Linked DNA regions of Tamandua tetradactyla. The protein of the gene in region 1 purifies or fractionates together with the protein of each later gene. This does not show direct contact. Links are inferred from orthologs where the notes say so. Each region holds a gene or a part of one and is shown on either strand. Other genes may lie near its edges.

Evidence for each region. The genes of interacting proteins can lie anywhere in the genome.
Region 2: the proteins of RETREG1 (region 1) and GABARAPL1 purify together in Homo sapiens (affinity purification with western blotting; 3 studies listed by BioGRID and IntAct, with this or other methods). This does not show direct contact. The link is inferred for Tamandua tetradactyla from reciprocal best matches to the Homo sapiens genes RETREG1 and GABARAPL1.

What each region holds. Positions count from the first base shown.
Region 1 is NC_135335.1:65,782,351-65,789,968, forward strand, and holds the start of RETREG1 (reticulophagy regulator 1), read right to left. Parts: upstream 3,004-7,618; 5' UTR 2,959-3,003; coding exon 2,645-2,958; intron 1-2,644. UniProt on the Homo sapiens protein: Endoplasmic reticulum (ER)-anchored autophagy regulator which mediates ER delivery into lysosomes through sequestration into autophagosomes.
Region 2 is NC_135333.1:72,652,985-72,660,038, reverse strand, and holds the start of GABARAPL1 (gamma-aminobutyric acid receptor-associated protein-like 1), read right to left. Parts: upstream 3,022-7,054; 5' UTR 2,756-3,021; coding exon 2,666-2,755; intron 1-2,665. UniProt on the Homo sapiens protein: Ubiquitin-like modifier that increases cell-surface expression of kappa-type opioid receptor through facilitating anterograde intracellular trafficking of the receptor. Involved in formation of autophagosomal vacuoles.

The sequences.
Region 1 (7,618 bases):
TGAAGACAAGATTTGGGTCCCGCATATTTAAAATATTAATCTTTTGTTTTCTCATGGAAAATATAGTGCTTCAGAATTCCTGGGACACATAATGTTAGAGGGTCACATAATATAAGATCAAAGATTAAGAAACATACTATTTAAAGAAAACTGAACGTCCTTGAAAAGTGTTCTAACCCTGGAAGCAACAAAAAGAGAATGAAAAACACTCCAAAAATTGAATCAAAGTTAATAAATGGGTCAGAAATTCCAATGGATTATAGCACAAAGTACAAAAGCAGTAACAAGTATTTCAGAATTCAAAGAGCAGGATGTTATCATTCTGTTAAGGAAAATAAATGCGTGGAATGTAGATACTGCAGGAGAAGAAATAACAGATAAGCAGAAAGCTAGAAGGAGGCTGAATACTTGGCCATTGTTTGCCTCTCCATCAGAATTATTCTCCATAGGAGTTATAAATACAGTACATGGCAAACATCACTCCTGAAAAATAACACATATGCCTTTCAATTGTCTTATGAAAAAACACTATTTTCAGTAGATATTACTAATAGGCCATAGAAAGAACACTTGCAGCTCATATCACAGAAATTAGGCTAAATCTTTAATATGAAAAAGCTCCTACAAATCAATCTTACAATTGGTAAGAAAAAGACCAATGGCTCAATTAAAAAACATATTTACAAACAATGTGGAGAAAAGATAATTAAAATGGCTTTTGAATATAAGAAAAGATGCTCAAACTCACAGAGAAATGCACATTTAAACCACATTGGGATGCCCTGTTTCACCTATCAGATTTGCAAGATCAAAGTCTGACAAATGCTGTCAGCAAAGATGTAGGAAAATAAGCAGTCACAACCATTGGAGGTGGGAGTATAAATTAATATCCTTCAAAATTATAAGTACATATACCCTCTAATTTCACTTCTAAGATTTTATTCTACAGAAATACTTTCATATATGCAAAAATGAAGTGTGTATAAGGTTATTAGCCATAACACTGAAATATCAAAAGTTTGAAAACAACCCATCATTGGGGACAGTTTAACAATTTGAGACATCCTTACAACTAAATTCTATGCTGTTGAAAAAAGAACAAAGAAGCAATTGCCAAGAAAACCATGAAGAGGGCAGCCCATGTAGTATTCCAGAATTTATGGCAAATACTGTGTAATTGCTGAACTATGCGTTAATATTACGTGGATAGTTAATACTACCTGGAAAGATACAGAAGAGACTGGGTAACACTGGAACACTGCGTAGCCAAGAACAGGCGTGAGAAAGAGATTTTCAAAATATGTATCCTTTTGTATCTTTAAACTTTTGAACTGAGTCTGTATTAGCTATTTTAAAAAATAAAATTTAAAATCAAGAAAAATAAATTTAAAACCACGGCCCTTATTAGTAAAATGATTGTGATAATATGATAAGGTTCTTTCTATCCCTAAGAATAATGCCCAATCCAGCCTAATATCATGTATTGCTCTCCTTTGAGTACTCATGTAACTTCATAACTGGGTATATGAAGAAATCGGGTGTAAACTCTAAAAACACAGATGGCTAAACACAAAGAAAAGTTCATTTACATTCAGGGACCCTGACAAGATGCAGCTCATTTTAAAGAGAAAACCAGGACTAGCACAGACTCTCCAGAAAAATCTTCCTGTTTTTCAAGTTGACCTAATAAAAATGGCAGGTGTGTTCTGTTCCAGGCGTTGATTTATTTTCCAACTGGAAGGTGAAATCCACATCCTCTGACAAGGTATACCGGGGTTCAGCCTCTTCTGCACTGCCTGGGTCAGGTTCGTTACAGGACCCTTGAGCAAACAAAGAAGGCTTTTTCTCTGCCCTCAGTTCAGACTGAGAACAGATGACAGCGCATATGCCCTTCAGCGAAGGAGCCAGATGCTTCCCATGCCCGTCTGGGTGAAGGGCACTTTTTGGAGAGCCAAACCTGTTGATCACGGGCTTTTATGAGAATAATTCCTATGTTTTCTCTCTGCCCTTCATGCTATTTTCTACACTGCGCAGTCCGAGGGGGGCGGGGCGGATGGGGTGAGGTACATAATCCACCTGTTTGTTTGCCTCCTGGTTTTCCTGCCAGGGAGTTAAGACAGTAAACCCTCCAGGGAAAGGGAAAACAAACCATTTAGCGCCCATCCCAGGTGGTTTATGAAGGTGGCAGAGTCTTGAACGTGTACCTAAGTTGGTCCAGCTATGTCTGCTGGAGTGCAGGGACAAATGCCAAGTTCAAGCCCACTAGCTCTGGCATGCTTGAGCCGACCAGGTCAAGACTTGAGAGTTTTAGAAAGCAAAGACTGAAGTTTCCGAGCACGGTGGCCACACCTATGGGGCTACAGGTGCGCAGGAGTCAGCGGACCACCTGGCCGCCGAGGCTGGACGCACGCGCGGGTGGACAGGGGTGCGACCGGAGACGGGGAAACGCGTTGAGAGGAAAGTTGAGGTGTGGGTCTTTCTGCTCGAGACAGGTGGCCGAGAAGGTGGGCCAGGGCTGACACCGCTCTCTCTGCAGCGTGCACACCCCACGCCGGCCGGCCGGTCTGCCCTCTGCCACCCCTGGGCGCCCCAAATGCCCCCCATCTCCACACCCCGGGAGCCCCCACCCAGCCCAGGCTCTCACCAAAACAGCAGGTTGGCACCCACGAAGGCGAGCAGGCTGCGCAGCGGCCTCTTCCAGCTCAGGAGCTCGTCGGCGCGGCCGCCCAGCCACAACACGGGCTCCCCGAGCAGCCAGGTCGCGGCGGCGGCCACCCGGCCCGCGGCCTCCTCCACCTGCCGGCCCGCGCCCGCCGCCGCCTCCTCCTGCTGCGGGGCCGCCGCCTCCCGCTCCTCCTGGAAGGCAGCCGGGGGCGGCGGGGGCCGCTGCGCCTGCTCTTCGGCAGCGGGAGCCGGGCATCCTTCCTCGGCGTGCTCCCGGGGCGCCACGCTCGCCATCTTCGCGGCCGGGCGGGGACGCGGACGCGCGGGGCACGCCTGGGTGTCGGCGCCGAGCGGGCGGCGGCGGGTCCCGGCGCTGGGCGCGCACCGCGGGCCGCGAGCCGCTGGGTGCCTTGTGACGTCAGCGCCGGCCGCGGCTGGGGCGCCGCCCGGGGGAGATGGGTGCGGCCAAGTTCGCGCAGGGGCGGGGCCGCGGGCTGGCTGGCATCCCCTGCGCGCTGGGGGCCGCGGCCGGCGGGGTTCCGGGGCGCTCGGCCACCTCGCCAGAGACGCAAGGAAATGACCCCCCTTTCCTCCCAGCTGCGGGGTTGAGGGGTGTGGGGCGGGGGGAGTGAACTGGTGGCGATGCCGCTGCGCGGTTGCTTCTCTCAAATGGAGCCAGGGCTACCGGCAAAATCAATTGGACATCTCCTTTTTTTTTGTTTTTTTCCCAGTCGGGGCCACCGCTCGCTCACCCTGCCACCTTGCAGGGCGTTACGCGGGCCCCCTGCGGTGGATTTCAGCCCCCGCCGAACCCCCGGGCCCTGGCGGTACACAGTCTGCACAGGCATAGGCATAGGCAGGGGTCTATGGCACCCTGGGAATAACGTGGTTAGAGGTGTTGGGTTGAAAAAGCAGGAAACCAAACCAAAACAAAACAAAACATTTGCGGTTGGTGAAGGGAGGGTCTGACCGTCTCATTTTACAAGGGAGGAAACGCAAACCCTCAGCGATGGGGGAAGGCGTTTCCTCTCTCGCCTGTTTCCTTGTGGGTATAGCGAGCTGGTTCAAAAAAAGCCCGTTGGTTTGTACGAGGTGCAAGGGACTGGGGGCTGAGAAGCAAGGGGTCCCGCTTTACACGTCCCGCAGGCTTGGCGAGGCTCGACTGCGGTTACTTGAGTGTCAGTCGGGTCTCGGTGTCACAAGCAGGCTTCAGAGCTGGGATAAGGAGGCAGTGGTGAAAGGGTTCCTGAGACCTCACCAGTACCCGGCCTCTTTGGATTTGGGGCTTCTGAATGAGCCCAGGGGAAAAGGAAGGCCAATTATTAATTATGCTCAGTTTTCACTATTTGAACTTTCAGCATTGATCTATTCTCTAATATGCCAGTTCTTGCTTTTCTCTAGAATGAAATACTACTGCCCCACTTCCCCCACCCCCACCCCACCCCACACACCCCGCCCCAATCCTGAGAGTTCTTCCCGAGGATGAATCATGATATCTTATATTCTCTCCAGTCCACTCTGGGAACCTGCTTTCCTGGCATGCATGGGACTCATTCCTAGAGCCACCAAATCCCTTTGTCTCCAGGGAGCTCTTTGGGAAAATGTTGTATGTGCTGGTCTGGGTTGTGTATACATGTGTAAAAATGTGTTGATCTATGTGTTTGAGGTGTGTGCCCTTTGCTCCTTGTATGTTATACCTCAAGGGAGCATACTGTCAGAACTCATTCAGAGGTTTATTGTGTGCCACCTGCATACGGAATGCTTTGCTAAGCTCTGTAGTGATGGCTTCCACTCTCAGGAAACTCACAGTCCAAATACAGCAGTGATAAATGTGCAAAAAAAATCATCTCTAGGTGCTAGGAGAGTCCTTGCTTAAATTTGTGCAGCCCAAATTAGGGAAGGAGTGGAGGAATCCATTGTAGACTTTTGAGAATTAATAACATCTGCCCTGAATTTTAAGGGAAATGAAGAGGGGGTGGAGGCAATGATTTCTGTTGGGAGAGCAGCATAAGGAAGGCATGGCGCTGCAGGTGGAGGGGCCAGCCTAAGAAAGGACAGTTCATTATGTATATTTGCAGCTGCTGAGGGCCCTGAATGCTGCACTAGTGAGGAGGGAGTGTGGGGTCTCTGGCATTCCAGCCTCGCCTTTGGGAAGGATCCCTTTCATCAAGCCAATGGAAAGAAGCTTGGGTGCTTTTGCCAGGGGTTGGTGCTCCCATTTGACCCTGACGCAAGAGCTTTTGCAAGATAAACGATGCTTCATTGTGTAATTTGCCCTTTGTTTAGCACTGGATACAGCCTCGGACTTGTGATGCTCTTGGATATGTCACTAGGCACTTTGTGTCACAGCCGGTGCAGAGAGTTATGGGTGCAGGCAACAAGGAGCCAGGTGTCCCCATTGTCCACACCAGGGTTGATGTGATTCCAGAAACATGTTTGCTATTCCTATGCTCCTCCTTCTCACCCGTGCATTCTAATTATCGTTCTTCAGATCCATTAAAGAAGTAAAGGCTGTTGACAACCAAGACACGTAAAAGCTAAGCCCCAGTTGCTATGTGTGGTTTGCAATACTTATTATCTCTGCTTAATGATAAATCTCCCTGCTCACAACTATGCACTGTGAAGTCTTTTCTTTCTCTCTCTCTCTCTCTCTTAAAATTACTATGCAGAAAATGCTGCAAGGACTGTTTTGCATAAAAGACTGGACTAATTGCTGTAATCAGTCATTTTCACCTCTGACCTTTAATAATTGCTGACAGACGAATTGTGTGACAAGATTAAATACCCTGGCACAGGCACATAAATGGGTGCAACTGGGTGTTTTTTCTTTGCCTAATTATCTTTGTAATACTTGAGAAATTTATTCCATGCCTAAGATGACATCAAAACAACACTATCAGTAGTTGCAGTAGAGCTTGTCCCTTAGCTTCAAGAGCATGCAATGCTTAAAATCCCCTGGCTGACCACACAGTTTTTAAAAGTCTCCTCTGTTTTTTTGCATCATTCTATGTTGGAAATAGAGTGAACACTAATGAACTAGATGATTTGACGATATATATCCAAAGATAACAAGGAAACTGAAAATGTGTCTAAGGAAACAAAAAGAGAACAAAATATAGCCTCTGAATCTCAGACAGTTTGGAAAGTAACCTGGCTCCAGTAAAGAAAGCCAAAATATACACAAGTACTGCCTATAAAGAGAGTACTTGCCTTCATCTTCCAAAGCAGATAGAAAATTTGTAATAGGACAGAAAAATCATGAATAATGAATTCCCAATCAAGGAAGTTGCACAGACAACATCAAGGTGTGTCTTAGAGTGAGGGGATAATGACCAGTATTAATGCTTTTGACTTAACATGTTTCATGTTAGAATCCTACAGTAGGTCCATAACTCCTTGAGTGGAAAGAGCTGTGTATACATGACGTTTTGTTTCTCAGCCCTGCAGATAAAATTTTGTGCTGATAATTTTATTAAAGCAATTCTCTCCTCCTATTCTTAGCCTATCCTCTACTCCATATTCCTCATTTCTCCTAATTTGCTTGTTGCTGAGCCAAGAAAACCTAAATTGTTCACTGCTAGCCCAGATAAATAAGAAAATCATACAGCAATAGTAACAACAAAGGAAATGAAGAGGAAGCTTGTGCCCTACATCATTCAAGGTTCCAAGTCTTAGCTCAGTACTCAGCTCACTGCTTCTGTTTTCGGTTGAATGTCTGCCATGCTTATAAGAACTGGAATATACAAACTGGAATAGTCGGTGCTGGACAAGCATTCAAGGAGGGGCATGCTTCCCAGAAATGAACCCCATAGCACCAACAACTACACCAGTTGGGATATCCAGTTTGGGTATCTCTCCCTAATAGTAATACTGCTCCCCCCGCAAAAAAAAAAAAGGCTTTTCGATGGCTTCAAGTGGTCAACTAAAAAGAACTGAGGTCACACTAAAACATGATTATGTCCACACACATACTCATGTGTTCGAAGATGCAAGATGCTCGCAGCCCAGTTCCTTCCTGCCCGGTTATCAATTGTACCTGAATCCACAGGCAAGTCACTGTTCTGGTCCTCATCTGCAGACTCTTCCTTATAATGGTCCTAGTTCTGCCTCATTGCACTTTTGTTTCATTTCTTCATTATTTCTTCATCCAGTGAGCATGAAACATCCATTGAGGGCAGATTGTGGGTTTACAGTAAGAGCAACAAGACTGTTCATTTCCTTAGAGATACTAGGGTACAAACAAGGAACAAAGAGTCTGAAGAACATAGCCAGGTGAAGAGAAGGGGGAAGCATATGGTATGTATAACCTGGAGGCAGGAGAGAAGTCATCCAGGCCCTTGGAGGAAACCCCAAGCCTCCAAGGAGCTGGAGGCCTGGGATGGGATGAGCAGGAGACCACTCAGAAATGTCCTCCTCGCAAATGATGCTGAGAAGTTTGCGCTTGGTCCTGAGACAGTGAGGAGCCATGAGTTGGCTTTGAGCAGGTTTCTGTTTTGAGATACCTCTGGACAGTGGATTAAATAGAGCCTGGCAGAGAAAAGACACATGAGACTTTTTTCCTGGCCATTCACTAAGATAAGATAAGGGCAAGGAGGAGTAGATGGTTTGGTAGAGAGGCAGATTAGTTTATTTGGAATATCTTTAGAAATGTCAGGTAGTTGGACATGAGGATCTGGCAACTCAGAGAGCAACTGGGTCTGGACGAGAGACAGATTCAGGCAGTAGGGATGGGTTGTGTGGGACTTGGCAGAGGGCAAGACCAAGATCAATTCAAGAGCACTGGTGAGATCAGGTTGACACAAAGAGCAGAGTACCGGGTAGGACTTTTGGGTAAATGTATCAACCTGAGTTTTGAGTATCTGTCACAGAAGTTGAGATAAAATCCTGTGGACAATGGAGAGTTCTTGAAGTCTGTGGGTTTCTTTGTTGTTATTGGTAGTGGTGTTTGGTTTGT
Region 2 (7,054 bases), on another chromosome or scaffold:
TCCAAAATTAAAAGGAAAAAGTAGGAACAGCTTCATGGAGAGATCAGTGAAAGGCCAACAAATGAGATGGACATAAGACAGCAGAGTTAATAAAATCAAAGGGGGACAGCGAGACTGGTATTGTGTCTCCCCCAAACTCTTGAGCTCCTATCAATAAGAGGTGACCACAAAGGAAGGAAGGCAAAAAAATAGAGCAGCCTGCAAAGGCAGGGCAGGAAATCATTAAGGCCTTGATTTAGAGTAAAAGAGTTTAGGTTTGCAGGAATCCCAACTTATTTCTCACTTACAGTGGACCCTCAGGCTTAGAAGCTTTGCTTCTTTAGCCTCATCTATTAAAGATAGCTAATATTCCATTGGGTTGTTAACAAATTAAAAAAAGACACATTCTGCAGGCTCTTAGTTTCCTGTTGTCACAGGTTTGCAATACACTGTAGCTATAAAGGCAATTTCAAGATCCCATGAGCTCCTTCCTTCCAAGGTATAAGCACACCTATTCTTCTCAATGGTAGCTATAAAAAGATAGTGACCGGGTCTAAATCCAGGTTATGCGAGCAGCCAGGGAATGAGATTACTCGAGTAACACCTATGGTCCAGCTGGGAAGGGCTTTAGAAATCATTTACTGGAACCCTACTTTCCCATAAATAGGGTCACTTGAGCACAGTGAGATTTAGGGTGTTGACTGAGAATACAGGGAATTCCTGTAAAGCCAGAACTACAACCCAAATCACAGTATTAAGAAAGCATATAGCTCTTCTCCCTGCGTCACAACTGCAGGAAAGAGGGCCATCCACTGAACCGGTAACAAGCGGTAGAGGTCTGGCACCGGTTAAAACATAACTAGAAGAAGCCAGAGAGCTGAGCCAGGTCCATGGTGACTTATTTATTATCACAAAGTAAAACATTTACAGAATAAGAACAGGTGATCATATGAAACATGAGGGGTAGATGATTGAAATGGGGAGGGCTTAATTTTGAAAAATTATAGGGGGATTTTAACTAGCTTTAGGAAAAGGTACATTTTAGAGTTTGTAACTTAGGCAAAACTATTGGCATAGAGCCTCGTATTTAGTGACCCCTGAAAAATTGGCATTCTGTTTACCGGCTTACTTTACCAGCACCATACTACCTTGTGAGCTCTGGAAGGTACAATGTGAGACACACAGTGTGCACTTAATTCTAGTTAACAGAACTGTATTAGAAATTGAGAAACAATTGGAATGGAATCCTGACCAGTAACAGACCAGCAATTTGCAAGCTTCCTAAGTTACTTCATTTCTCTGATTGATCTGTAGAATGGTGGTTATACCACTGTGAGGACTAACTGAATATAGAGAGCACTTAGAAGACAGCCGGGTAAGAGATAAGCCATCAATAAAGGTGAACTGTCATTTTTTAATACTTCTATCAAAGACGGAGATTAGAATTAGGAGAAGCTTTTAAAACAGTCCCCCCAAGGTCCAGACAGCAGGAAAGTGATTTGTGAAGGACTCTTTCCTGAGTTATTACTCAGTAGCACCCAATTTCTGGGAATGGAAAGGCCTTAAGGGCGCCTCTTCCTGATAGGAAAAGGACTACCAGGGGTTTCTACTGTTGGGCTAGCTAAGGCCCAACTCACCTCTGGTAACTGTAAAACAATGAAATTGAGGTTAGGACTGTAGACTAGGTTTAAGGAGAACATGCAGGTCAAGAAAGGACATCAGATAATTGCAATTCCTTTACTTATACATTACATGTAAAACGTCTCCCACTGTCCCTGCCTGAAGGTGGCAGGTAAAGAGCACAACCTTAAGGTCGCTGCTCCTCCATCTCCAAAATCTACCACTCTTCTTCCTCCTTCCATTCCGGCTGCGCAGCCTGTATTCGAGAAAAAAAAAACAGGCAAGTGGGCGGGGGAGGGGGGAAACGGGAAAAACACCCGGATGCTGAGGGATGCCTTAGTATTTCTCTTCCTCCTCACCGATCGCATTACTTTTAACTCCACATGCCAGGTTCCGCAACAGAGAAAAAGAGGCTTCGGTCCCGCTTTGTTGTGTCCAGGTACAGTCTGATCAGAATTAAGTAGCGGAGGGAAGGCTGGCCTTTCCCCACACAAGCCCCTGGAGCCAAGAATAATGAAGCAAGAGGGCTGCTGCGCAGAGAACGTGACCTTGTTTTCCCCGCCACGTCCGCCTGGTGGTGCGCTCCCCTTACCGCCCCCTTTCCTAATGATAAAACACAAGAAAGAATCCACTGGCTTCCCATTCTTTCCTTCCCAAGCCGGATAAAACGAAGGTTAAAGCCAACTTCGCTGCTCCCGTAACAATATCCCTGCGCTTCTAAAGGCTGGAAATCAAGGGCCCCAACCTAATCACTCTCGCATACAGGACCATATTTTGTGCACATGTCGGCCTTCGTATCTGAATAATGCTGAGTCACTCGAGACGTAGGCTCGGCTCCAAAGATGCGATCAGCTGTAAAGATGGAAACGGGCCCTGGGGATATAGGTTTTAAAAGGTCGGCAGTCTGAGTGTCCACTGGCTCCGAGACCAGCGAACGGCGTCGAGGGTTAGTGATTTACAGGGACCTCGCGTCTCCCTCCTCGGCCTGGGGCAGCGACGCTTCACCACAGCCACGCTCGCCCCGGGAGCTTCCCAGTCCCCTCCCCCCCGCTCCCATGACACTCACTGGGACCCTGTCCGGATATTTCTTCCGGATCTTTTCGCCTTCCTTTTTCCGATACTCGAAGGGATGGTCCTCCTTATACTGGAACTTCATGATGGACCGCAGGGTTTCTGAGATCCCCGCTCGGGCCCTGCCTCCCTGGCTGATGGTCGCGTCTCTCGAGAATCGTTTCCCTGTGCCAAATTTCACTATAAATCAGGATCGCTTCGGAGACGCCAGCTCCCGCCGCAACACTTGGCAGAGCGATCGGAAGGGATCTATGCTCCCTTCGCCTGGAGCTAGGGGACCGCCAGAACAGAAATCCCGGCGGCTTTCCCGAAGGGCACGGGACGCAAAACAACTCTGCGGCGCGTCGGTATTGCGACGTCACGAAGTCCCGCCTCTCACCCCGCCCCAGCGTCCCGGACCTCCAGGAATAGGGGTGGACATAAGAATTGTCTGTTTTAGTGTATTTTTTTCCATCTAAATTTTTCCTATCTGGATTACATAGCGTAGCTAAGACAGTTTTTCTTATTGTTTTATTGTGACTCTCATACTGACCGTCGTTTTAAGACGAAACGAAAAGTGTGTTCTAAAGATGACTTCTTCCCTTCCCCCCGCTGCCTCTTGGTAGGGCCCCAAAACGAATAGAAAGGGCTAAAATCCAGCCTTTTCCAGCGAGCTGGAGTCAGGAAAAAGAGGGAGGGAGGGCCTGGCATCCCATTGGCCAGTGCAGATGTGTCCCGGGTTTGCCTTTTGCCCTTTGCCCATTTAATTGGACCTGCCTGCGTGCTAGGTTGGCTTCCTCCCACCAGGGCCTCTCCTCCCTCAGGTTCGCTTCAGTTTTGATTGGATGAATGCCACAACTTGCTCCTAGAGTGGCGACAGAAACAGAGCGTGACTCAGGAATTTGAGATGTGTAAGATGAAGGGCATGAAGTACAACCTAAATCCAGGGAAGAGGTGATGCCGGCAATAACTACTAAGGGCTGCACGCATGCCCCAATACAAAAGTGATGCACTTTCTCTTACAACCCAGAATTGGGCCCGGCTTCAAGAAAAGAAAATTTCAGCCAATTTAAATTATTCGTTTAGTGGCTCTCGAACATTTCTTTTTTCCTTCTGCGAAAATTCATTTAAAGGATAGTACGGGTTATTTGTGTTTCAGGGGAATAGGATGAGACAGGAGGAAGGATGGTGGAAGACTGGGCTGTGAGGCAGATGCGAGTGGCGTCTCCAGAGGGAGAACCAAAGGCCTAAGACTTTTCCACCTGCTAGTGAAGGCGGCTATTCCTGGGATCCGTCGCACCGGTGGGGGGGTGGAGGAAGGCGGTGGTACTTGCAAAAGATAAGGAGTGAGGAAAGTATGCTTTTCTCTGAAAGAGTCTAATGAGTTATATTTTTAAAGTTATTTACAACGGCAGTGTAAGGAAGAAGTTAAGGTGAGAGCATGACTGATTACTGAATCATTATATAGATATTCCTTTTTACTTGCTAGTGTATTAGAATAGACAAAGGGAAATACCTGAAATCTCTGAACTGTAATCCAATTGCCTTAATTTCTGATAACGATTTATTTTATGACTAAAAACCTTGTGACTGACCTTCCCTTATACACCCTTATCCTGTGTTTCAACTTTAGAGCCTTATGATCACTAAAGATAGCCCCTAATGTTTATCAGTGGAACTAACCCGCCCAATTCCAAGGCTGTCTTGATAAATAGAGCTGAATCTAAGCAGCCTATACCTCAGAATACTAAAAATCACACCCATCAACGTATTAAGGCAGCCATTTTCTTACATAAATTCTGTGACTAAGCATGTAAGCAATCTGTGCATGCTCTATAACTAGATCATCTCCAGTCACGTGCTCATTATCTTAAAACCAGCTCATCATTTGACACTATAAAACGATCAGAATTACTGCAGCTCAGGGAGACCAAGTTTTTAGGCCCCCAGCCCATCTGATCTCCTGCTTCCTGCCTAGCAATAAACCCTCTCTTTGAAACTCAGGACTTGGTCATTTGAGTGCTTGGGGCAGAGAACTCACTGCTTTTGATGGCTTTATCATCTATATTCTGTTATCAGGGTTCCAATGTCTCTGATTTTAAAAAACAAACAAAACTAAATTTTATCATAGAAACAAGGAAAATGAATTGGAGCCCTGTAATTAAAAATTTAGGATTTAAGGAATGATTTTGACTACTGAATGGTTACATAGATATTCCCTTTTGGGGGGGGAGGGGGTGCTTCAGAACAATTGGAAAAGGTCTTTGCTTTTTTTCCTAGAGGCAGCCCTTTGGCAATTTTCTGGGGCCTTAGGGAAATTCCAAGGGCGGTTTCTTTCAGATGGCCAGGTTTGCTTATAGTAATTACAAAACTAAGATTTTGAATTTTGCAGTTCAGAGAATTTTTTCTCCTTATTTACTGTTTTTTTCTTTCTACTTCAGAAGAGTATTGATTTATATAAAATATGTTTAAAAACTACTTATTTCTTAAGCATTTCCAGTAGAGCTTTCTTAAAAAAAAAGTTTTGTTACTTTTTTTTTACATTTCAAGTTATAAAATAATGCAATGAACAGGCAGACAGACACAAATAGAAAATTAGTTACACAAGAAACAGAAACACAGAAATACATTTGAGAAGGCCAAATAAAGACAAGATAGAGCAAAGAAAGCAGGGTTAAAGCTTGCTATACCTTCAGAATTCTAAGGAAAATGAATTCCAGCCTAGAATTTCATACCAAGATATATTATCATTTAAGTGTGAGAGTAGCATAATGCATTTTTAGCCTTGCAAGCTCTCCTAAAATTTACTTCTTGTGTGCATATTTTCAGTAAGCATGTCCAAAATGAGGGAAAAAAACAAGGAGAAGACACAAGGTATATGAAACAGGATTTAACAGAAGATAGGTCAAGGTAATCAACAAGATAAAAATGGTTACCACTTATTAAATACTACATGCTTTACATACGTATGTGTTAGCGCCCATAATCCTCAATAATATGAGATAGATGTACTCATTTTACAGATGAGAAAATTGAGGCACAGACTAAATCAAGATTGGAAAGATAATATGGGGCAGAGCCATTCTTTTAAGCCATAAAGCCTTATTTCAAACTCTTGTTAGTGCCCTCTTTCCTGCTTCCCATAATACTAATATAATCAAAATTATGATGTAACTATATTTAGAAGCTGGAAAAGGGGAACAAGAAATGCTCAGAAGTTTGATGGTAACAAAGGTGAGGTGGTGGTGATAAAAAAAAATTAAAAGGCTGAATTCTCAACTTTTAACAATGGAATGTCAATAGTTTATGCCCCAAATAACTGAAAATAAAAATCTAGAATTGAAACATATGCATAGAATCTGTAGAAGTGTCCATTAAATAAATCAGCTAAAAAGTAGGGGGCAGAAAATATGTGTGTGTGGTGAGAAAGTGCTATTTTTCTTCACAAGCCATATAGAGCTACTTAACTTTATAAAATCACACATTTGATTAAAAAGAATAAAAATTAAATTGACTGAGAAAAACCCTAGAATGAGCTGAGAATTAACATCAAGGGATTGAGAGAACCTTCTCGGCCAAAAGGGGGAAGAATGAAATGAGACTAAGTATCAATGGCTGAGAGATTCCAAGCAGAGTCCAGAGGTTATCCTGGAGGTTATTCTTACGCATTAAGTAGATACCACCTTGTTGTTCAAGATGTAGTGGAGAGGCTGGAGGGAACTGCCTGAAAATGTAGAGCTGGTTCCAGTAGCCATGTTTCTTGATGATGATTGAACAATGATATAGCTTTCACAATGTGACTGTGATTGTGAAAACCTTGTGTCTGATGTTCCTTTTATCTAGCATATCAGCAGAAGAGTAGAACATATGGAATAAAAATAAATAATAGAAGGAACAAATGTTAAAATAAATTTAGTTTGAAATGCTAGTGGTAAATGAAAGTGAGGGGTAAGGGGTATGGTATGTATAATCTTTTTTTTCTGTTACCATTTTATTTCTTTTTCTGTCTTTTTATTTCTTTTTCTAAATTGATGCAAATGTTCTAAGAAATGATGAATATGCAACTATGTGATGATATTAAGAATTATTGATTATATTTGTAGAATGGAATGATATCTTAATGTTTTGTTTGTTGTTAATTTTTTAATTAATAAAAAAATGAAAAAAATTAAATTGAAAAATAAAAGGGTTTTTCAGTTTGGTGTTTGAGGTGAGGAAATTGACTTTAGAACGTAGCCCAGTCACTCAGCTCTGGGCAGGTTATATTACTTCCTTGAAGCTCGGGGAACAGAGTTTGCAGAATTAAATTAGGTAATATACCAGATGCATAGTAGCCATTCAAAAGGTTGTGATTACTCATCCATTATTTGAATCTTGATGAGCTTTCATCCTCTTTGAATTGATC